3 linked regions of the Arabidopsis thaliana genome follow. The protein of the gene in region 2 interacts with the protein of the main gene of each other region in a pairwise test. Each region holds a gene or a part of one and is shown on either strand. Other genes may lie near its edges.

The links.
Region 1: the proteins of AT2G18196 (region 2) and ZFHD1 interact in a two-hybrid assay, tested with the Arabidopsis thaliana proteins (one study listed by BioGRID).
Region 3: the proteins of AT2G18196 (region 2) and HB30 interact in a two-hybrid assay, tested with the Arabidopsis thaliana proteins (one study listed by BioGRID).

What each region holds. Positions count from the first base shown.
Region 1 is NC_003070.9:26,177,916-26,185,604, reverse strand, and holds ZFHD1 (zinc finger homeodomain 1), read right to left. Parts: upstream 3,450-7,689; 5' UTR 3,136-3,449; coding exon 2,407-3,135; 3' UTR 2,059-2,406; downstream 1-2,058. Other genes in the region: CLE45 (CLAVATA3/ESR-RELATED 45), read right to left, coding at 7,081-7,455. UniProt on the Arabidopsis thaliana protein: Transcription factor involved in the up-regulation of several stress-inducible genes. Acts as a transcriptional activator by interacting with MED25 and NAC proteins. Involved in increased drought tolerance.
Region 2 is NC_003071.7:7,916,551-7,924,838, forward strand, and holds AT2G18196 (Heavy metal transport/detoxification superfamily protein), read right to left. Parts: upstream 6,044-8,288; 5' UTR 5,719-6,043; coding exon 5,581-5,718; exon of another isoform or gene 4,886-5,580; coding exon 4,810-4,885; intron 4,566-4,809; coding exon 4,243-4,565; 3' UTR 3,890-4,242; downstream 1-3,889. Other genes in the region: AT2G18193 (P-loop containing nucleoside triphosphate hydrolases superfamily protein), read right to left, coding at 1,071-1,583, 1,660-2,634; AT2G18200 (uncharacterized protein), read right to left, coding at 7,717-8,022. UniProt on the Arabidopsis thaliana protein: Heavy-metal-binding protein.
Region 3 is NC_003076.8:4,935,407-4,943,417, reverse strand, and holds HB30 (homeobox protein 30), read left to right. Parts: upstream 1-4,210; 5' UTR 4,211-4,728; coding exon 4,729-5,544; 3' UTR 5,545-5,953; downstream 5,954-8,011. Other genes in the region: AT5G15220 (Ribosomal protein L27 family protein), read left to right, coding at 1,285-1,381, 1,482-1,606, 1,710-1,952; AT5G15200 (Ribosomal protein S4), read left to right, coding at 7,084-7,111, 7,374-7,755. UniProt on the Arabidopsis thaliana protein: Putative transcription factor.

The DNA.
Region 1 (7,689 bases), on a different chromosome or scaffold from region 2:
AACTATTTAGAAAAGTTGGAAGATATAGATCAAGTAAAGGTATGATCGGGTCACGGTCGAGCCCGGACATACATGCCTATGGGGGGGCGACCAACGAAAAATATCAGCAGTTTCATGTTATGTGTAGCTGCTGGTGAACACTTGTAGCCTTATAGGTGTATTAATGAGTTTGGGTAACATGTAGAATTGTAGATAGTCGCGTGAGAGATTTTGGTCTTCGACCGTCCAAACATGGCCAAGTCACGGTCCAAAAACAAAATTGATTGACTATTATACGAGAGCATTTGGCAGATGCTCGTGTTACGTTGAAATTGAAAATTCCTTTTTAATTTCGAGTGCGATCGTTTATTAGTCCTTTTCTTTTAGGTGTTAAGCAAATTAATTATCATTTTCGTTTCATTTTCAACGTGCAATAGAGATGCAAGGCTACACGTGTCTCAATAAATTTGGACCAGACATTGATGCTGACGTATCCCATCCTCTTTTAATGTAGGTAAAATGGAAACTAGATTTAATAAATGGTGATTGGTGCATGTTTTATCTTATAAATTGTAAAGAAGGTAAAATGATTTTGTTTACTTTATAAAAGAAACTTATTTATTTTATTTTACTTCAAACAAAAAATTGACTTATTTAACCATTTGACTCATTTAAATGTGTTTATATACATCTTAATCACTACCTTATACATCTCCCAACCCAAGAAGACCTCTCTTGATAATCATTTATCTAACATAAATACACACTAGATAGATGATAAAGATGTTCCATGTGGTGATCAACTTATCAGTGTCCTTACCAATCCAAAGTAAAGCATGATGAGTTTTCCTGAGCTGCTTCGTCTCTGGCTTGGCTCAAAATTGCCACCGTGACTATACATATCGATTTTGGATGCAAGATCCCCACTGAAGGATTCTGATCTTTGACTTGGATTATGGTATGCTTCAACGGTTATACTTATACTTGACCAAGTCTCCGGTTGGTGAAAGACTTAACGGATCCCTAAGATACTTGGTTCGATTAGTGTCCTTTAGTGTGTTATTGGGTCTAGTCTCAAAAATCAAAAACTACAATGGGCTTTAGCTATAATGGAATTTTTTACATTGCTTTCCTCTTTGCATATTCCAACAAAAGAAAACATCTAACTAATAAAAACCTTTTTTTTTGAAATATCATCTAAAAAATGTGATACACGAAGACATGTTACATACTGTTGGTATGGGGATTATCCGTTGCTACTTTTTTCATCATTATGTAACATGTCTTCGTGTATCATATTTTTGATCCACTGATATAAGAATTTGATATCTACATCATCAATTAATCGGACCACTAACATCTAAAATCGATATTAGCTAGGTATTGGAATATTGTCCAATCGGAATCTTAATTAGTAGCATACAAAAAATTCAATCATCCAACCATAAACACATATACCGATCTATAATGTAAATTATTTTATCCGCCAAATGCATGTTAAACAATTTGTGTACCATATATTGATCATTAATCATTGCATGCAGTTACTCGTATCTACATAGAGCTTTTGCATACATTGATCTATCTGGCATGGATATTCGTACCGGCCTTTTGTTAAGGCTTGGGCTTCGTTACTTCGTACATACATGGTAAAATACTTTGTCTCCGGCATTGAACTTACGACCATTTATACGTGATAAAGCATTCGCTATGATTCGTTAATACATGATGAATGAAAGAAAAAAAACGAATTTTTAATATCAGTGGTGCGGGAAGAGCCAAATCATTGCACATAGTAGATATTTTAGTAATCGTAACATCTGCATTGTACTTAATTAGGATAAATAAGCAAGATTGGTGTTGCCAAAGCTTATCCCTAAATGGAAAGAGATAAGCCAGCATTTTAATAACTTTTAATCATATCATATAAATTAACAACAAAAATGTGCCGCCCAGTGACCTAATTATATTCCGCCACGCCATAGTTTGTTGCAATTCGTAATAACCACGTCGTCGTATCTTCATTAAGCAAACTTTACTTACTCTATCTCTAAAGTTCAGGAGATTTATTTCTAATAATACAGAAGATAACATTGAATAATCAGAAAGTAAACAAAGAAACGAATCTTTTGATCTCTACGATCACAATTAGCGCTTATGCACTTACTATAATTAGAAATGGTCTATCAAAATTCGTTTCAACCTCCGATTTAAAAACTTATTTATTACCAAACCCATTTGTGATCTCTGACCACATCTCTGTCAAAGTGATGAAAATAGAAAAGATCAAACCGCATAAATATTTATATCAAGATCGATTACATGTTAGAGAAAAGACACTATTATATGATTTTAAACCGGTTAATGCTCATATTTTCCCAAATTAAAGTATCCTAATTCGGTTTAACCCGAATCTTGAATCTTTCTTCAAGAAGATGAAGACCCATCACCATCATTGCTGTGAGTGTTCAGACACAGGCCATGTTCGATCTCTCTGATCTTGCCATTGAGAAGTGAGTACTTGTTGTTATGCATCCACACTTTAAGAACTCCTCTCTCAATCCCAACTTCGTTACAAAACTCTCTCACCGACTTTTCATCACATCCGTTGATTTTCCAACCAGCTTTCTCTGCGAAGGCTCTCATCTTGATCTTCTGCTCCGGCGTGAATTTGGTTCTTGTTCGTTTCCTCATTGCTCCTCTTGAACTGTTCTCTGACCTAACCACCGTTGGATCTTGATCTGACGGTCCAGGGAAACCGGAGCTGAGAGAGAGAATCACGTGATGTGGAGGAGCTGAGGTGTAGTAAGAGCAAGGAACAGGAGAAGACACGTGACGAGACGGCGGCGACTCAGTGCCGGAGGGAGAAGAAATCGGAGGCGCGGTGAGGAAGTTGAGATTCTCGGAAGGGTCACGGCGGTGGAAGTTACGGTGGCAGCCACAAGCAGCGCAACGGAGAGAAGAAGGATCGGTGGAAGTAGCCGTGGGACTCGGCATAAACTCGCCGCAACCGTCGAGAGCATGGCCGCCGAGATTAGCCGCGTGGTTTTTCAAACACTCTTTGTAACAAACACCCATTTCTCCGGTGACAGTTAGTTCTCCGGCGATGGGAAGAGAGTTTAGAAGTTGTTGTTGTGGTTTGGAAGACAAATCCATAGCTTTTGTTTAGTTCTGTCTTTATAGTGTGTTTACTTAAATCTTTTGCTTTTGTGATTAATGAGAAGATTAGGTTTTGTAGTTTTATTTTATTTATTAAAAAAGGATAATTATGTAAGTGCATGTGACGATGATGTAATTATATCGGTAAAGAACATGGCAGTGATGAAATATAATTAGGACTTGGAAAATAATAATAAGTGCTTACTCACAAACGTCCAAAACATACAGCAAAAGAAAGAAAACACTCACTGTATATCAATGAAAATTCACAACTTCTTTTTTACTTTTTTTTTTTCTTGTTTTGGTGAAACAGAGATTTTTTTGAATATTTTAGTCACTAGTTTTGATATCTATTCATACGTTATATAGACAGACTATACACTTTGAACCTGTATAAAATATTGAATCTGAGGTCTTATCAGAAAGCAATGATTTTACGGGACATTTGTAAGATATGGGTTTTCACTTTCACCAGTGGGTAACTTGTTGTGTAAAAGAAATAAAAAAGATGAATAATTTCTGAGCGTGACATAAAATTTTAATTAATCGAATATATTCGAAGGAGAGGATGGGATTAGTTGGAAGATTTGAGTCCAAAGTGTATACGTGGCAATAGCCCATTACATGCATCGTACTAAAGGACAATTACAGCTGCCCTGCAGTTTCATATTCCACTGTACATATTACAGTTTCTTATTTTTAAGAGTTTACGTTACCACCCCATACTTCTGTTAATTTCACTGTATCACCCCTGCATTTTTATACTAAAACGTTTTAATCTTTTCAATTTTGATTCTGTTTAGGGACCATTTTCTTATCTAGAGGTCTAAAATCGTAAATTTTCCTATAACGATAATCTAACTAAACAATAAAGTCAATAAAATTTCTTACTAGTATAGGTATTACGTGTTCTAGTGAAATATTTGACTTATGCTAATGTACTAATTCGTTCCAAAAGGAAAAGTGCTAAACAACTAGAAGATTTTGTAGATTACCGAAAACACCTCTAAAAGAACTTCTTTCGCACGAATACTTAATACTTGACTCAATCGTGGAGCAAAGAAGAGTTTGTTGTGACAATTGCCAAACTTCATGTTTCGTAATTAATCATGAAATTTAAATGTCTAAATTCCTTAACCACCCTTTGGAAAGACTCTTATCTCTTACCGACCTTTTATTCTCACTTCTTGTCATTAGTGTGGCGCCGAAATTTAGTGTTCTTTCGCATTTTGCTTACGTTATTGATTAGCTTTTGGGTCACAATTATGTGGTGTATGTCTTCAAGTCTTCCTCTTCTAAGTACCCCACAATTATTTTGAATCTTCATTAGCCATTTTCCATATCGATTCTTATAGGGTTTGTTTTTACAACAAATATAGTTTCTATCAAAAAAATAAAAATTGAAGGAACATTTTGTGACTAGTTATTGTTACTTTTATGATGATCCATTCATGAAAAAAATGATGAACCTTTTCTTATAAGTTACAATGTTACTACATGTGAATGTTATTGGTAAGATCAAACTGCATGGCTAATTTTGTTATTAATTATAATTACTAAGGTCTTTACTCTTTAGAATTAAAGTAACAAAACAAATCAGACATCAACATTCATTTCGTTAAGCTTTGGATACTCGTTTAATTAACTTAAAATCTTATTGAAAGGCATATAAATTATTCATTAATGTATAGTTAAGAGTCTGATCCCTGAAATGAGACTAATTAAAGCATTGTTTGCGAGGAGAATAAATGAATAACAGTTGGTGTTACGTTTTGTCGTTTATCATAAACCTAGTCACCAATCACGCTTAATTAGAATCCAATTTACAACAATCGGGAGATATTTGACCATACAATAAAAATAATTAAATAAACGTATTTATTGTTTTACTAATAATTCGTTGACAGAGACTTTGATTTAACAATTTATTTACTCGTATCACAATTAGAATCATAAAGACGGATTAGAACAATCTCCTAACGATCTTGTCAATGACCGAAATAGCACGCGCATCCCGCAAACCGGCCACTAAGGTTGGAGAAAAAGTCATTTGTAGCCGAAATTTTAAATGTCATATGATCATGGGGTCATTTTTGCGTAACGTTTCTATCTATGTATATACCTATTGAATAAGTAGGTAAATGACACAAAGTAAGACTTAATTAGATAAATAACAAATGCTAAAATTCACTACTAGAAAAATAAACAGAAACAAAGACTAGATAAAAAACGATAACTACCGTAAGCAATTTGTCTCTAAAGAGACGTGGTCACAAATATGCATAGCTAAACCGGAGATGCAAGGATACAAAGAAGTTAGTTTTTCCAAAGCTACTCCAAAGTATGATGTTGTCACTTGACTGGTTGTGAAAAGCAAAGTTGCAACATAATAAAGAATGATTAAATGGAACCAAAATGCGGATACAAATTGCGTATTTTGTAAAAATCCGTTGGAGACGAGAGAGCATTTGTTTTTTCAATGCCAGTATTCGAGAAAGGTGTGGGAAGAGCTGATAACTCAGACAAAATAGAAGGATATCACGAGAGAGCTTGCGAGTAAAGATCTTGATTCCACAACAAAATTTATTCCCAAGTACTGTTTCAAAACACGATACTCTTTATTTAGTGATAAAGAAATGAGAGGAGGCACGAGACCAATCTTCGACCACGAAGAAAATCGTTAAATTGATTGACAAGAACATGAAATCCGTTTGAGCGTACTAAGAAGAAGAGGTGAAGATAGATCATAGAATCTCTTAATAATTTATTTTAAGAAAAATTTACATTCATATGTATCAATGTTTTTTTGTTTTGTTTTTGAATACAATTTAACATTAGATTCAAACAAGATACATATTTTTTTTAAAAACTATTTTTATATTTCCATCATTAAAATTGTATAGTAAAATTATAAATCCATTTTATTGATGGACAACGATAAATCTATTAATTTATGCAAATTTTTTCTTAAAGTTAAAAGATGGATTTAACTTTAATCATCGAGCACAAATCAAACACATCAAGGCTGGGCAGGATAAAAAAATATCTAAAGGCCTAGGCCCAAAGAGAGTTATTTTTATGAACTGGGCCTAACAACTAAACTAAGCTCTCTGGTAGCACCGTTAGGCCCTCGGCGACTGAACCGTCGTAGCGAGCCGTTCCTTGCGGCTAGGTGCCAATGATTCTCCTCCCCACCGTATGAGGAAACTGCTGATCCGGCGGCGGAGTTAAACTCGCCGGAAGATGTATTCGGAGAATAACTGTAAGTCCTCGTATTCCGCTGGTTTTCATGGCGCCTAAGTAATACTTCGATTTTGAGAGGTTGATCTACCGATTATTAGTTGGATCGCATCACAATGTAGGTATTAGTTCCACTAAAATCTTCATGTGATTGTAAATTTCTTGAAGGTTGATCTTAAGGCTACGTTCATGAAGAATCCTTAGAATTCCAATTTCTTAGATTTTCATTTTCACTCAAATGATAAGTTTGATATTTGTTAGAAAGACAGAATTGTTTACCTTTCAAGTGCAAATGTGATTTGTGTGAAAATAGAGGTTGCATAGTGAAGTTGTAGCAAAATCAAAACTTTTGAGATATGTTATATACATAGGACATGTTTTGGTGGGAGTCAAAAGCATTGCAGAAAGAACAAAACTTATACGAACTAATGCAAACAATAGAGTGGGGACTTGGTCAAAGAAATATCTTGAAAACAAATATGTATTCTCTTGGTGTATCTGAACAGATAATGCTGTTCTGCATAATCTGATGGCTTCACCATATTGTGTGTTCTTATCAAAACCTATACTTGAAAAATAAACCCTGAGAATAACCAACTAACCTACCTCCAGCTTTGATAAGGTTGATTGTTATGCCCTTTTCTTCTTCTTGCGTTTCTATAGTATATTGCCTTTTTCTGTATTTGATTTCTCTTGCGCCGTTTAAGAAAATGGCTGAGCTTTGTTGTGGATAGGATCTGATCCTCGTCTTACACGTCTCTTGCTTGATTTGAATGAGTCTTCTGTCTTATTCTTTCGTTCTTGTGTCTCCTCAGCTTTGATTTTATCTTTGTTAACTTCCTCGAGAACGCGTCGGTTTTTATTGAGCATTTCTTGATCTTCAAGGGTGTGTTTGAATTGAACACCGATGCTCCTGAGCTTAGAAATTTCCTCTGTCTGAACTCCTGCTTTTTCTGCTTGTGTTTCTTTGAGGAAAAACTCTCTATGTCTCATGGCTGAGACATTATATCTGTTGTCTGCTAGTAATCCTATGCAGACGAGAAGAAAAAACATTGATCTTGTACTGGAACCCAACATTTCTGCTCTTAGGCAGACAAGAAGATTCAGAGTATCTTTCTTTTCTTCAAAGAAATGAGAAGGTTAGGAGTTATGAGATTATAGCCCTTCTGAGTTCTGATTTTGTGTGTGTTCCTTCCTGTAGATATAGTCATGTTATATATCAGTTATTGGGATTTGGAGGAAGCTTTAAAGTGTAAAAGCACAGTGGGTCCCTGTGACCCTGGGGAATTTAGATTCACTTAAAAAACATTG
Region 2 (8,288 bases):
GGATTTAGGAGAGTCTGTTAAGTCAAGAAAAAGGAAAAATTATCTTTGTTTGAAGACAAAAAGAATCATATAAGCAAAAGGGAAATTTGCTTGAAGAGAAAAGCAAATTGACAATATAGAATTTAGAAATATGTCTTATGTGTGATTGGAGAAACTTGAGGTGCAAGTTTGTGTTTGTTATATAAGAAGGATGTGGCCTTATGAGAATGTGGATGTGTTAGAGTAATAATAAGAAAATTGTTGGGCTTTTACTAATATACTAGGATTTAACCCACGGTTTATCGCGGGCTTCGGTTTTATATGGTTTTTAATTAAGTATTTGATTATATTTTATATTGTAAATTTATAAAATATTTCTTTTATTTTAAAATTTTATAAATACTGATTGGGATTTTTATTGGTTGGTCGTTATTTAGTGATTATAATAATATGTTTTAATGTGTTTAAATATGTATATTAATTAGTAAATGTGTATGTAATTTAAATATAAGTAAAGTAGTAACAAAAATGTAAAATAGTAAAAGTGGTGTAATTCTTTTTGTGATTATAAGTGTTTTTTGAAATATTTTATTGTGATTATAATTCTTTTTGAGATGGAATATGCTCATATTTAGATACCAAAATGAAGTAGAGATACCAATATTGTTGAACGGTTAAGATTGTCTACTTTGAATGGTAAACCCGATTAGGTATTTGAATTCGTGATTAAGAGATCACTACTCCTAACCCACCCGAAATTAAAAACGTTGATCCTACAAGCTTTAATAGATTGAGTTGATATGCACATCCATTCTTTATGCACCTCTGTTTCTTCCTTATGTTTTGTTTGGTTTGGTTTCTTTATTAAAGTCGAGACTGTTTAGTATGCCAAAAAAAAAAAGACTAATTTGAGATAATTTTGGTAAAAATAGTTCCAGAGACGTAAAATCTATTTTCTCGGAAGCTTCAGTCAAAAGTAGAATGTTTAGAACCATACAAAGCTTTATTTATTTGGCATAATGTTGAACACAGGTTTGATTTACCATGTTACACAACACAACACAACAGATCATATTGTTCAAAGTTATCTCTTATATCAAATAAGTTTTGGCCTTTCCTTTACCTTTCCCTTTACCTTTCTGTTTACCCCCTTTCTTCTTCTTCTTTACACAACCCAAAGAACCATTCTGTTTTTCGTCATCATCAGTTGCTTTACAAATAGAAACCTCCTTCTTAGTCTTGCTTCTCTCAACCTTCCTCTTCTCAACAAAGCTTATTACTCCACGAAGAACAACGTCAGTATCATCGTCTTGCATCAGCTCTTCAGCTAACTCAGCTGGAGTAACTTCAGTAGAATCGACCAGCGCCTCGATTTCCTCGCAAAGAGGATGGTTTAAGCCATCTAAACCAAGGTAGTTAGAGACCAATGTCCTAAATCCTAAACCTGTACAATAAGACATGTTGATATGCACATCCATTCTTCCAGGACGTAGCAGAGCAGGATCAAGCCGTTCTTTGTGATTCGTCGTGAACACAATGATTCTCTCATCTCCGAAACTCGACCATAAACCATCAATGAAATTCAGAATCCCTGATAGAGTCACCTGCTCAAAGACAATATCATAATCAGAACTAAAAACCAATAGATTCTCTCAAACTCAAATCCAAAAGATATCTCACCTTTCCCTTAATTTGTTCATCTTCTTGATTCTCAGCTTCCCTATCTCTCACTTCAGCATTACAATCAATATCCTCAATAACCAAAATCGAACGATTCGTCGTAGATAACAAAACCCTCTTCAACTCACCATTGTCATAAATACTACTAAGCTCAAGATCAAACACATCAAACTTAAGATAATTCGCCATCGCAGCAATCAAACTAGATTTACCAGTTCCTGGTGGCCCATACAACAAGTAACCTCGTTTCCAAGCTTTACCAACTCTTTTGTAAAACTCCTTCCTCTTCAAAAACCTCTCCAAATCATCGATGATCTTCTTCTTCGCATTCGGATCCATCGCCAACGTATCGAACGTAGACGGATGCTCGAGATTGATACATCCCCAATTCCCACCAGCCATTCCATCATCATCATCACTAGCATACACATCTCTGCTATAAAGCTTCACCACTCTCAGATTCCTCTTGATCTCCTCGGATTCGGCTACAACGTGGGTTAAATAAGAGTTCAAGACTTTGTCTCTAAGCTTCTTCTCGAATGTGAGCTCGTAGTAACGTTTCACTTTATCTCCTTTCTCGTTCTCCGATTGAACATAACTCCATTTCACCTCCGACTCCTCGAAAGTATCGAGGATCTCTTCGCCTCTTTCGATAGAGATTGTGAAATGCTTCTGTTTTGGGATCTTACCAACTCGCAACCGCTCTGTTTCCGGTCCGATCTTGCTCCTGAGATACATCTCCGCCGCGTCGAAGACTTGATTCCGGTTCAATCCGAAGTTCTCGTCGATGATCACAGTGAGATACTTTGATTTCGGAGTGAAAAACCGGTCGAGTAAGCTGGAGAAGTAAGATCGAAGCTTCTCCGGTACGAAATCATGGAGCATCGATCTAAAGAGCATCAAGAATCCGGTTAAAGATGCGTACGCTGAGAACAGCGACGACGGTGAGAAAGAGAAATCTGATGAAGGAAACATTGTCGGCTGAAGTAAAAAATTTCCGATGACCTAGAGAATTTTATTCCGGTGAAAGAGAGTGAGAGAGATTTGAGAAAAGGTTTTAGAAGTGATGAGTTAAAAATGTGAGAAATAGAAGATAGGCTTTATAGAAGCACATGGCAAACACTTTTGTCTGTTTCACATTTAAGGATAGAAAATTAATAAGAGACATTTTGAGGGAAGCGAAAAAAAGTAAGAGACTTGCAGAGGAAGGAAGCGTGCGGTGCAAGGAAATTACTTGACGTCCGTGTACACGTCAGAGGTCAATAGTAAAGTGACACGTGACGGATCCACTTGCTTCTTTTTTTGTTTGATTTGTTCCGTTCGATGAAGAACATATTCGACGAATACGTCAAATAACATCGACTCAAAATATTATTTTTGTTATTTTACTCTTTTGGAATATCTTTATTTTCAAAATGGATAATTTAGTTTACTTTGTTAAAAAAAACGAGTGGAATATTAATTATTTACATTTCTTTACATTTCAGTGTTTTCCAATCAAAACCTTTTTGACGAATCATTTTTATCGTCTTTAGTGTACTAAGAGCATCTTTATTGGTAAGCTTTTAAATTATTTCTTAGGATAAGAACGCCTCACTTTAACTCTTATATAAGAGTTAAAGTGAGGCGTTCTTAATAATCAATCACAAAAAAAAATTTTAAGAACTAATCTAAGAACTTACCAATAATGATGCTCTAAGATTCGACCATCCGATTTCTTCAATTAAGAAAAAAGAGATCAATATGAAAAAATCATTTTTAACAAAAAATATATGAAAAAACATGTTAGGTTTATTTAAACTTTATTAAAAAAAGAAAGAAGAGAATCTAGATTTTTGATATAAAATGGTGTATCATTCTAGAATAATAGTATTGAAAATTTGCCTCTCTCTTAGTGGGGCGGTGGTATTATTAGTGTATGTTGTTCGTTCAGGCCCAAAATAAAACACAAGAGCCCAAGCATTTTTTTTCCCCATATGCACTATAGACAATAGAAGAAGTTTGAAGCTTTCAATTTTCAAAGCTTCATTCAACACAATCTGATCGTAAGAGAATGCAAGATAGACAAACAGAGAGACAGATTGCGATAGGTTCGGTTTGTTCAAGATAGACGTTGTTTGTTCGGATTTTTTCTGTTTCAGAGGCCTAGAGGCAAAAACAAATGGTTGAACTATGGACATTTTCATGTAAAATGAAAGAGGATCGGTCATAAACAAACAATGCATATTATCTCATTAGACCATTAGCAATTTCAACAGTGGCCACAAATTTAGTATATACCATCTGGCTTATAGCATGTTTATGTATAGTTTTATAGGAAAAGGACCAAACTTTGATACCATGTACAGTTTACTAATTCCAAACCGAACCGAACAGAATTGTTTTACGGTTCAGCCGGTAATATTTTTGGATAACCGAATAACAGATAAACCGAACCTAAAAAAAACGAATGCCCAAGACTAATAAAGCATTGTGTTCCTTTTTACTTGTCTCACTTACGCTTATGCATAAAAGCTATTCAATCAACCCTATAAATGATACAACAAATATAAACACATAGATACCTAAAAAGAAGTGAGGAAATTACATAAGGCTACATGCGTGGACGTTGTCGTCGTTGAAAAAGTTGCTCATTTTGTCGTCACCACGGTTGGTGACGTGAATGTTACCGTGACGGTCACTAAGGTTGTAGCCATGGCGATAGTAGTTGTAGCTCTCCCTAAACTCGCGGGTGGTATCTTTGAAGTAATGGTCAGAGGAAGTGAAGTAGCGAGGCATGTCCGGGTAGGGCCAGAACTCGGCTCGTTTACCGGCTCTTCTCACCGCCTTGAGCACCTTCTTCCTCTCTACGTACCCAACCACCGTTACTCTCTCCATCTCTAGGTTCACCTCCACCGAGTCCACCCCTTCACCACCAAAACAACGCCCGTTTAGTTACTAGTTTGATATATTCACAATATTACCCTTTTCTATATAGGAGTGTTTTAGCAAAACAAAAAACATATTACAATTTTTTATGAAAAATATAAAGTTATTATTCTATAACCATAATTTATAATATAAAATTTAATATTCGTTAATTTAACGAAAATATTTTATGGAAGAAAAGAAATTAGTTATTTTCGAAAACACTCTGAATTATAACATTACCTCTCAGCTTGTAAATGGCATGCTTGACAACCCTCTCACATCCACTGCAACACATCCTTACTTTCAGGTCTATCGTCTGTTAATTAGCACCATTCATATATTACAAACTAATTAGAACTAATATGACTGCTTCAAAAACAATTAGTATTAATATGTGATATATGTCCATAAAGAAAAAGGTAATTAATTAGAAGAATAATTATTTAAATGACCAACTCTCTGCTGAATCAGCCAAAGGATATTATAATCACATATAGTAACATCCACTAGTGAGACAAACTTATGACATTCCGTTTCAGTTTTGTCCGATTCCCCTAAACGAATCAATAAAAATTGAAAAGACATTTTTTAACTAACAAAAGAGAAAAAAAAAAATGAGCACAATGAGTACTTTAATATTCTTTTTGCGATCGAGAATCTGTTTTGCCAACTTATTTACAAAATTAGAGGAGATCAGCTAACTATAGTTTGAACTTTGATCTTTATGTTTAGCTAAAAAAAAAAAGCAACTTAATTCGCTCTAGCTACCATCATCACAAACCTAACAAAGTCATACCTTTCTCTAAAAACAAAAATCATTTGCACTCTTCGTTCAATTAGGCATGTATCAGAATAATAACGGTTTGAAAGATAATTGTTACCAAAATTTATTCTATTTTAATGAAAAACTAATATCATGATCATAGAGTCAATTTGAGACTAAAACTACATAGATACATGAAAATTATGGTCGATTATACTATATAGATACATAAAAAGGAAAGAGAATACCTGTAAAGAAAGTGGACGAGCCATTGGCATGGTGTGGTAATGGTTGAGGTGGCTCACACTTTTGAACTTTGGCTTCTTATGTGGATAGCGAAAGAACAAACAGTAAGTGATGGTAGATATGAAGGAGCCGAAACCCATTTCTCTGCTCTCTCTCTTTATATTTATACGTTGCTAGATAGAGAGATGATTAGGACTCAACAAACTTAGAGAAGAAGCAATAAATATATAAACAAGAGGAGTGCATGGAGGGGTTTAAAACAAAGAATAAGATTAGACAGAACGGAAGATATGCCTTTGGAATCACTTCACTTTGTAATAAGTTATGATCTCTTCTTTACCTCCAAAAAAAAGAGTTGTGATATTTATTTTTATGTTGCAAAGTCATTTACATGTAGAAAATATGACTCAACACATACTAATTTCCGCTCTTAGCTAATTCTGTGGATAACATATAGTAATAACTTTCATAATTAAAGCTTCTTGTAATTATAATTTATTAAAAAGCGTTAGTCTTAGTCTTGACATAATGCGAAGGTATCAAATGTTTTAAATGCATTTCTAAAGAAATGTGGCACTATAGTTTATGCATGATGTATATAATCAAATCAAAAGAATATAAATTGTCCTGGTTTTATGGCTTAATTGGTCATCACCAATAAAGTGGCCGCAACCGCATTATCCAGTGCACATTGCTATAAAGAGAAGATTTTATTAAAGATCCAAACGAAAATATAATAAGTTGATTTAGAATATATATAGTTTTATACCCAGTGGAAGGAGACCATAAGACTTTTTGTATATCATTATCTACTATGAAGTTTAATTAAAGAGTATGTAACATCTAATAGAGAATCAGAGTAGAACATACACAGTTAAACCGAATATCAAGGGTACTGATTTATGTTCCCTTAGATTAGTGCTGTAACTTTTTTCTAGGAGAATTGCGGAATGTTTAAAGTAGAAGTTAATTATATAAAAATCATGAAATCTAAATGTTAATTTGAAAAAAAGCATACATGAAATATTTTTATATTTGAAGAATAAACAATTACAGCTCCCATTTAATCTAGACGGACAATAGTCCATAGATGCTAAGATGATATAATATTCTCGAAAATCTTTATCGTCGGTAGATAGAAACGAAACCATAGATTTAAGTTTTTTTTTAAAGAGCATATTTAGATATGTCACATGTGTCAGTATCATCCGGACTAGAAAAAATATCAGGAGAGAACACGATATTCCCACGCAGATATTGTAAACATGAAAAAGACATATCTATATTGATGGATGATCTTAGAGAATCAATGTTGATAAAGGTGGATGAGTTAGAGAAATGGAGCATGTGCTGCTCCTGCTTCTGCTTCTGCTGCATGGCCCTGATTAAGAAACCACTCGCTCGTCTCATCTCCATTTCTATTATTCCTTATTCCTAAGTTCCCTTATTTTTATTATTTAAGAAATATTCCTCCTGAAAAACTTTATTCTTCACCCTTTATTTTTCATGTGTGCTTGTAAGTTGTAATCCAACTAAGAAAAAAACAATCCAAAGCTTTTTACCAACTTAAGAAAAATAAGGCCATGGATGAGAAACTTAATTCGACTAAGTAAAAGACACTCCAATGTTTTTGGTTGATATACTAATTGACTTACTTGTGAATTTTGCTAGATACACCAATATATAATAGATGAAGGACGTTCTCTTACGTTGATATGTCACTAATGAGAAACTTAATCTGACTTAAGGCCAAAGACACTCTAATGTTAATCTGTTATTATGTTATTTATTTTCTTAAGTAATTTTTTTTATATTACAAAGATTATATAATATGATGTTATAACTTATTATATATATATATATATATATATTAATATATATATATAGATTTCGTGAATATTAGTTGAATTTACAGTTCATTTAACGACTATATAAAGTACCAAATAAACATTAGTTTTCTGTCTATTTAAATAAGAAAATAATTATTATTTTTTATTTCTTTATAAAATAAGTAATCGTAAATAAGCGTTAAATAATATAACTATTTATAATAATTAAAAAACTTAAGATGAATTATTTACTCAAAAATTAGAAAAATACATCAAAATGATTAAAATAAAATAAAAACAGTGAAATGATTACTTTATCAGGCTAACTGAATCGATGTAAATTTTTATAAATAACATATATATGTAAATAACATGAGTGAAGATTGGATGGCTCAATTTGCTTGTCACCACTGTCTTATTTGGTTTTTGGCGTGGAAGCTTTTCCAAAATCGCAGGAAAGTCTCCACCAAGCCTATCGATATGGAGCATAGTAAGGAACGGTCGTGAGCTCCTTAGCTTTGCTCCGAGTAAGCTAAAGTTGGAATGCTTGGTTACACACTCGTATCCACTGCGACGGCTCCTTGTTCTTGTGGTTAGGGTTCTTAGCAATTGCATTATTGGGTTATTGTTCTTTTTGGTGGCGATCAAAGTTGAAAATTAATGATGTTGATGCGAAAGATATCGCCAAGAGAAGTGTTGTTGTTTGTGGTTATTGTAGAGAGAGAGTTCGATTGTCTTAATATACTGTAGTTTTGTTGATATAATATACTATAATGACTTTGCATTATTTAGTTAAGTTGCCGATATGAAAAATTCAAACTTTCGTCCCGTTTTAAAAAAATTAACAAAGACTAGGACTTGCATTAGTACATGATAAACGT
Region 3 (8,011 bases), on a different chromosome or scaffold from region 2:
CAAATGTATAAGAAGATCATGATAACTTGTAAGAAATGACAATGAATAAGCTTAACTCCAAGGTGAAGATTATATATAAGAGTGTTGGTGTATAATCCAGTTGGATCATTTCATTATCTTCAGATTATGTTTGATTCAAGCCAAGGATGATGTCTTGTTTAAGTTTAAGTTTTAAATTCGGTTTATGAGAGACTACAACTTAATTTTATTTATAATAAGTCTGAATTTGCTAAACCAGGCTAGACAAACCTACTAATGTAGAAGACATTTGTAGCTACTGATTCCCCTAATCTAGTTGAAACTGTATGGTACTAATTTATAGGAATCTTTGTAGTTAGATTTATAAAATAATTGGTGTGACACAAAATTTATTACAAGGGGTTAGTATAAGAAACTTGTAGGGTCGGGGTACGGCACGGCAAAGCACGGACCGTAGGACCATTGAAATGCGATTTCAAATAAAAAGATTTGAAAGCATGTGATCCATCACATGGATATTGATTATTACTGTCTAACAAAATAAACTTGTAGATCGTGTCCAGTTGTTCTTCAAACACATGCGTATAGAAAATGTATAACATTTTGTTATTAATGTTACAAGAAATAAAAGATAATGATCATCCATCATTCATGATGTCATCTTGTTCACACTTGCACAAACCTAATAAGTTATATACAAGACATTTTTCTAGTTTGGTTAGATTAGGTTTCTTTTCCAAAAACCGAACTATCAACTTTTTTTTGTGTCAAAATTTTCAAAAATTAAATAAAATTGACTGTCTAAAAAATCACAAAAGACTATGCAAATTTCTCTTTAGTAATATATCAATTTTGATCCAAATGAAAATGTAGGGGTCGTTATGTAAACAAATGAAAACATGAGGACCCTCCGGGCGTGTATAGTTCACACTTGACAAATAGGGGTTTTGGAGTTAGGCCCTTCCATCCTAATCGCGCTTCCGTCGCCGACGCCATTTTACTCGCCGTCGTCATCTCCGGCCACGCTTGTCATCGTTCGCAATTAATCGAAATCGAAATTTTCCGGTAAGTATCCTCCTTTCTTATTACCGTATCATTCGAGAGTTGGAATCGGATCGGAAATGTAATTGGTTTTGAGGTCAATAGGTTAATACGTTTGTGACAATGGTGGAGTTTCGAGTGTGAATGAAAAAACTCCATTTGCTCGAGAAGATTTGATGAAATGGTTTGTATAGTATTGATTTGATTCTACTTGAATGATTAATGTTTGAATTGCTCTTTGTTGCTTGCAGATTCCTGAAAAAAATGAATTTCTTAAACTCAGCAGCATCCATTTGCAGAAGAGTTAGTTTGAGGGAACTGATCACTGAGGTTCCTGCTTATAGTGGCAGTAGCATTTCCGGTATAGATTTGCGCTTTTCAAAATCTATATTTTGATGATCTTAACTAGTTAACTCATTTGTGTAATTGTTGCTGTTGTTCTTGTTTTGGGGATGTTAAAGATGGTTCTTCAAGTGGCTTGAGTTTGGTCTTCAAGCGTTGGGCTACTAAGAAAACTGCTGGTTCTACAAAGAACGGTCGTGACTCTAATCCCAAGTTTCTCGGTGTTAAGAAATTCGGAGGAGAGGTAAGAAAATAAATAACAAGCGAGATAAGATTTTGATAATCAAATCAGTCTTGGTCTGTGTGAAGAAAATAATGTTTGCCTGTGTGTGTGTGTGATTTTGCAGAGTGTGATACCAGGAAACATCATAGTTCGTCAACGGGGAACTCGGTTTCATCCTGGAGACTATGTGGGGATTGGTAAGGACCATACTCTGTTTGCATTGAAGGAAGGACGAGTCAGGTTCGAGAAAAGCAAGATTACAGGACGCAAATGGATTCATGTTGATCCAACAGGTGGTCATGTTCTTCACCCTATCTACACAAAAGCTGCAGCTGCTCAATCGACTAAGTTGAAGACAGCTTCATAGTCGTGAATACTGATTGCAACAATCTAAACGTGGTTTTCATTTCCTTTAGATCATGTGATCTCTCGAGTAAAAGATGATGCTATCTTAGAGCAGAACCACTCAATTCAATAACATCTGCTGTTTTGTTTCCCTCTAGTCTTTGTCTGGATTTTGATGAAGGGCTTTGTTTGGATTCAACAAATCAAGTTTTATTCGGAAATAGATGTTAATCAAGTCTGAGTTTCTCTCATATGTGTTACGCAAAACAGACAAGTAACAGTCTGAGATAATGTTTTCCCGGCCCGTTATAAACTCATCGAATAATGGGCCAACATTCTAAGCCTCAGGCTCTGGCCCGTCAACGCGGCTAGATCCGTTCATTGAATCAGAAACATATTTATCCTATCGGGTTTAAAATTTCAATTAAAATTTCAAACATAAATTTCTCTCATATTATCATATATGGACGAACCAGCTTTGTTTTTGGCATAATGTGAAATCAAGAGCCAACTTGTTTTAGCCATTAAAGTTTCCTCAAATACTTCTCAAGTTGCCATGCACATCAATATTTAGTTTTTGAATTATTATTTTCTTGTAATTTTACACATTCCTATTCAAAAACAATACAATTAAAATAAAATCATTTCGTTTATAACACAAAAAAAGGAAGAAGAAGATGTCATTGTTTTTTTCTTTATTCACAAATCTTAAGAACAGTCCATATTAATGCATACTAACCACCCATGCGATACATTCATCGTATATGATAAATCCTTCCAATTGCATTTGCACACATACATAAAGTAGGATATGTGTATATATAAAACATATACAGGCATAACATATAATAGATTTTAGAAAGAAAGAAAAAATCACAGATAGATCATCAAATAATTGCGTCAGATAATATATCCTGAAAAAAAAAAACTAATTAATATTATCCTTGTTATGGGCATAAAGCTTATTTAATGTCGGTTTGCCTTATTCTTCCTAACTAAAGAGTAAAAAGCCTTATAACTATTTCTAAAACAATAATATATGTGTTATATTATTTTGTTGTCTATGAAATCTATAGATAATCGTAGTGCGGTAACAATAAGACCAATCAACAATCAAGTTATATCTAAATGCTTGAAATGTTGATACGGTGGTTCCCTATTTTGGCTATGGTAAGTCGTGCAAGTCGTAATATATACCTACATTAATTAAAGTATAATGTTAAAGTTCAATGTATTTGAGAAGAAGAGAATTGTCTTCCATAACAGACGAACATGGTTTGATTAGGTAGCGCCATGTTGCAAGATATGTACGCGTGTTAGCTGTTTTTGGTATTTAGACAATTTCATATCATCATTAGTCAAAAGAAAGAAAAAGTTTTAAGAGTTGAGATTTACAATTACGTTACTACTATAAGAAAACAGACGACATTTTAGAAACCCGTTAAAATTCAAAATTTTGACGGAGAATTCAACCGTTGGATTTAGAGCATCAAAATTAAAACTTCCATAAAATTTGTCTGAATTTTTTGATAAAATTTATCGGTCATATTTTAGCAAATCTCCTAAAAAAATTGGTATACTATCAATTATTTATGGAGTTTTTGCTTTGAATTGTTAGTTTATCACTTATTATTAGTAATGGATTTGCAAACGATCTTAGGTTTGGTCTACACCTCTCTGATTAAAGACTTTTTTATACAGCTTTAAAGAAGTTTGGAGTAAACGGCATCGTTCTTCACCACTGCTCGTGTCAGCTTTTTTAGTTGTGGTCTCCTTTTCTTAAGGCCACTTTAACCGTCAACATGTATAGTCAATAAACATTTTTGAGTTAATTAGTGGAGTAGTTGAGAAGTAAATAAATTAAGCTAGTCATAGTTTTTTTTGCAAAAATTTGGTAGTAGAGTAACTTTTAAGATTGTAAGTTGATAGTTTTTTCGACATAAGATTGAAGACAAACCATGAACTATAAAACTAGGGAAGGTCGAGATTTTAACATTTTTGGATAAACATTGCTTTTGATCAACAATACGAAATATTAACTTTTGTCTTTAGTTAACATCATTGAATCAACAACCCGAATCAACCTTAATTATATTCATGCTTTACTTCCACACGAAATTTTCAGCTTAAATAAGGAGAAAAAAAAATAAAAAAAAATAACGAGAAATAATAATAATTGAAATTTGAAAGGTAGCAAAAAAGATTAATATTGATATAAAATTGGAGTATATATTATTAAAGTTGTCAACGTCATGGAGATACAAATTTAGCAAAAAGAAAAAGACATGACTCACATTAGATGCTGTTCTATGAACTCTATTTATTAGCCTATATTTATTACACTTATCTTTTTTCATTAACCCTAGATGGGGTCAACAAACCATGGTTAAAAAAAAATATTCAACCAAAAAAAAAAAAACACATAATGATTATGAATCTCAACCACACAACTTGGATTTCTCATTATCAACAGTCTTCAACTTCTCATCTCTTTCTTCCTCCATGAGAGACTTGAGTAAATAATACATAGTTTTAAATTTCCCCTTTTCTAATCTTATCTCTCCCAAATACATAAACCCATCCCAAAGATTTCGAGTTTACAATTTAAAAACAGTTTTGTTTAGTGCAATCTTTACCTTATCTTTACTTCTATCATCTATTCTTCTTCTTCCTCCATCTCTAGAAAATTATAATACTTCTTGTTTCTTAAATCTTATTTGTATTACAATAACCAAAACCCAAGTTTACAAAACATTTCTTCTTCTTGTTTTTCGAAACCCTAAATGTTTTGAGTTGTCATGGATGTAATAGCTACTACAACTACTATAGTATCCGACTTGGATTCACGACAACCCGAAATCGAAGCTCCGATCCGGATCCAGCCCGCGAAGCCTATTTCTTTCTCAAACGGCAAACGCTGCCACCACCATCATCTTGCATCTGAAGCGGTTGCGGTTGCGACTTATAAAGAATGTCTAAAGAATCACGCAGCAGGTATCGGCGGTCACGCTTTAGACGGATGCGGCGAGTTTATGCCGTCACCGTCGTTTAACTCCAATGACCCCGCTTCACTAACGTGCGCTGCTTGTGGTTGCCACCGTAACTTCCACCGCCGTGAGGAGGATCCATCTTCTCTCTCTGCCATCGTCCCTGCGATCGAATTTCGACCTCACAACCGTCACCAGCTTCCTCCACCGCCTCCTCCTCATCTGGCGGGGATTCGTAGTCCAGACGACGATGATTCAGCTTCTCCACCGCCGATCTCGTCTTCTTACATGCTTCTCGCACTCTCTGGAGGAAGAGGAGGAGCTAACACGGCGGTTCCAATGTCTAGGAAACGTTTTAGGACGAAGTTTAGTCAGTATCAGAAGGAGAAGATGTTCGAGTTCTCGGAGAGAGTTGGGTGGAGGATGCCGAAAGCTGATGACGTGGTGGTTAAGGAGTTTTGTCGGGAGATTGGAGTTGATAAAAGCGTTTTCAAAGTGTGGATGCATAACAACAAGATTTCAGGACGCAGCGGCGCTAGAAGAGCTAACGGCGGAGTAGTAGTAGGAGGAGTAGGAGATAGTCGTCAGAGTGTTGTTCCGACAAATGGGTCGTTTTCTTCGACGTGAGGAAAAGAATGGAAAGCGTTGAAAAAGCGTCGTCGTTTTAGAGGCTAATTCTTTTTTGGTTTTTCTTCTCTGTGTTTTGAAGATTTTTTATTTTTAGTCAACGGGTCAAAATCTTTTTTCTATTCCACTTTGTTTTGTTATGTCTTGTAGTTTGTACTCTTGTTAGTAGTTTATCTTTGTTAGAGAGGTGATTTGAGTTGTATCTTTCGACCAAATGTGAGAAGAAAGATAAATGAGTAACCTCCTAAAACCGAATAACAAAGTCAATTAATCCAATTGTTTTCTAAATTCTATATCAGTTTGCTTTTTTATTTTTACTTTTTTTCTTTATATAGAAATTTATGAAAGAAATGAGGGAATTTGTTGCAATTATGTGACATTACTAGATTTTTAACCCGCGGTATACCGCAAGGACAATTTTTTTTTTTTTAAGTTAGTATATATAAAAGTTTACAAATTGTATCTATCTATAAAATATTTTTATTTTATAGTTTACAATTGTTATTAAGTAAAAAAAACTATTTATTTTATTAATGTTGATCTTATTTATGATATGTTTATAAATCATTGTCTAAATATTTTGTAATTTTGTAATAATTAACTGCTATAAAATATCTATGTGGGTTGATGCGTATAATGGAATTGTTATAGTCATGCAAAAAAAGCAATATCAAAAATGATAATTTTGTAATTTTTAAATGATGTTAAATATTTTAGAAGTTTTATTTTAGTAACTAATCGTGTAGTTATTGTAGAGAGATTTTGAGAAGATAGTTAAATGTCAAATATTTAATTCGAAAATTTACTTTCTAATTATCAAAAATAATTATTAAATGCCAGTGACAACCACTGTAAATAAGTCTCAACTTGAAGATTTATTTCATATAGTGGCTGCAAAAATGTATATGTAGATAACTCAAAAACATGAAAACACAGTTACTATTTTGTGTGTTTATTTTCGATGCTAGTAGTTAACACCTGTTTGTTTATTTGTTGAAATGGTAAAAGATACAACTAAGAGTTGGTAAGATTAGGCACTACGTTAGGTTAATATGATTGGAGACACCACTCACTTATAATATATTCTTGCTGTTCTATTAAGGCAAGACTGGTAAAACATCTCAACAAAATATTGCAATTATTTGTTTTTACGATATAATCTTTTTTTTTTCATCAACTTTTTTAATGATATAATCTAAATGCCAAAAGACATGTAAAATGACATTTTTTTTTTTGTTCAAATGACATTTCTAGGTACCACTATTCAGTGCATAAAAATAATTTTATGATTAAGAAAATAAATTCGAGCCCAAGCGCAAGACTCAAAAATAAATCGACATCTCAAAACGGGCCCAATATAAAGCCATAATTCGTAAAGGCCCAATATAAAGCCTTAATTCGTAAAGGCCCAATAAAGAAAGTGAGAGTGTAGCGTTAGGGTTTTAAGAAATCCTATAAATTAGTTCATTCGTCTCTTTCGTTCCTCTCTGCGTGCCCTAGTTATTCAGATCGCCGAATTTGCAGTAAGGAGACGAAAATATGGTGCACGTTTGCTACTACCGCAACTGTAAGCTTCTTCTCTCCTTTTCGTCGTTTATATCACAGCTCATTTTCGATTCGATCTACGTAGTGATTTCTCTCAATATCAAATGATAGATTAGGGATTATCTGAGGTTTTTGATTGTGTTATATATATAGATTGTGAATCTGGGTTGTTGTAACTTTTGAGGTTTTAGTTTCTGAAATGAATCAATCTTAGATACGAGCCTCAAAGATCTAACCTTTATGCTGATAATTTTGTATGAATGTGTGTGTTTGTTGTTGAATAGATGGAAAGACCTTCAAGGGACCACGTCGTCCTTACGAGAAGGAGCGTCTTGATTCTGAATTGAAGCTGGTTGGTGAGTATGGTCTGCGTAACAAGCGTGAGCTCTGGAGAGTGCAGTACTCTCTTAGCCGTATCCGTAATGCTGCTAGAGATCTTTTGACTCTTGATGAGAAGAGTCCAAGAAGGATCTTTGAAGGTGAGGCTTTGCTCCGTAGGATGAACCGTTACGGGCTTCTTGATGAGAGCCAGAACAAGCTCGATTACGTCTTGGCTTTGACTGTTGAGAACTTTCTTGAGCGTCGTCTTCAGACTATTGTGTTCAAGTCTGGTATGGCTAAGTCTATCCATCACTCTCGTGTCCTCATCAGGCAGAGGCATATCAGGTATTGCATCTCTTCGATTTATTTGTGCTTGTGTATGAATTATCTTTGTTATATCAATTGATAGGATCTGAAATGAAATTAACATTTTCTCTGTTTCCATTTCATGATTATCTTTGAATGATTCGGCTTTGTGTTACACTTCTTTAAACACTGTCTCTTTGGTCTAACAGATTGTAGTCTTTCATGAGTTTGTACTGTCTTTTGGTTTGATCTTTCTTCAAACGTTTTATTGGTTGCTCTTAAGTTCACGCAAGTC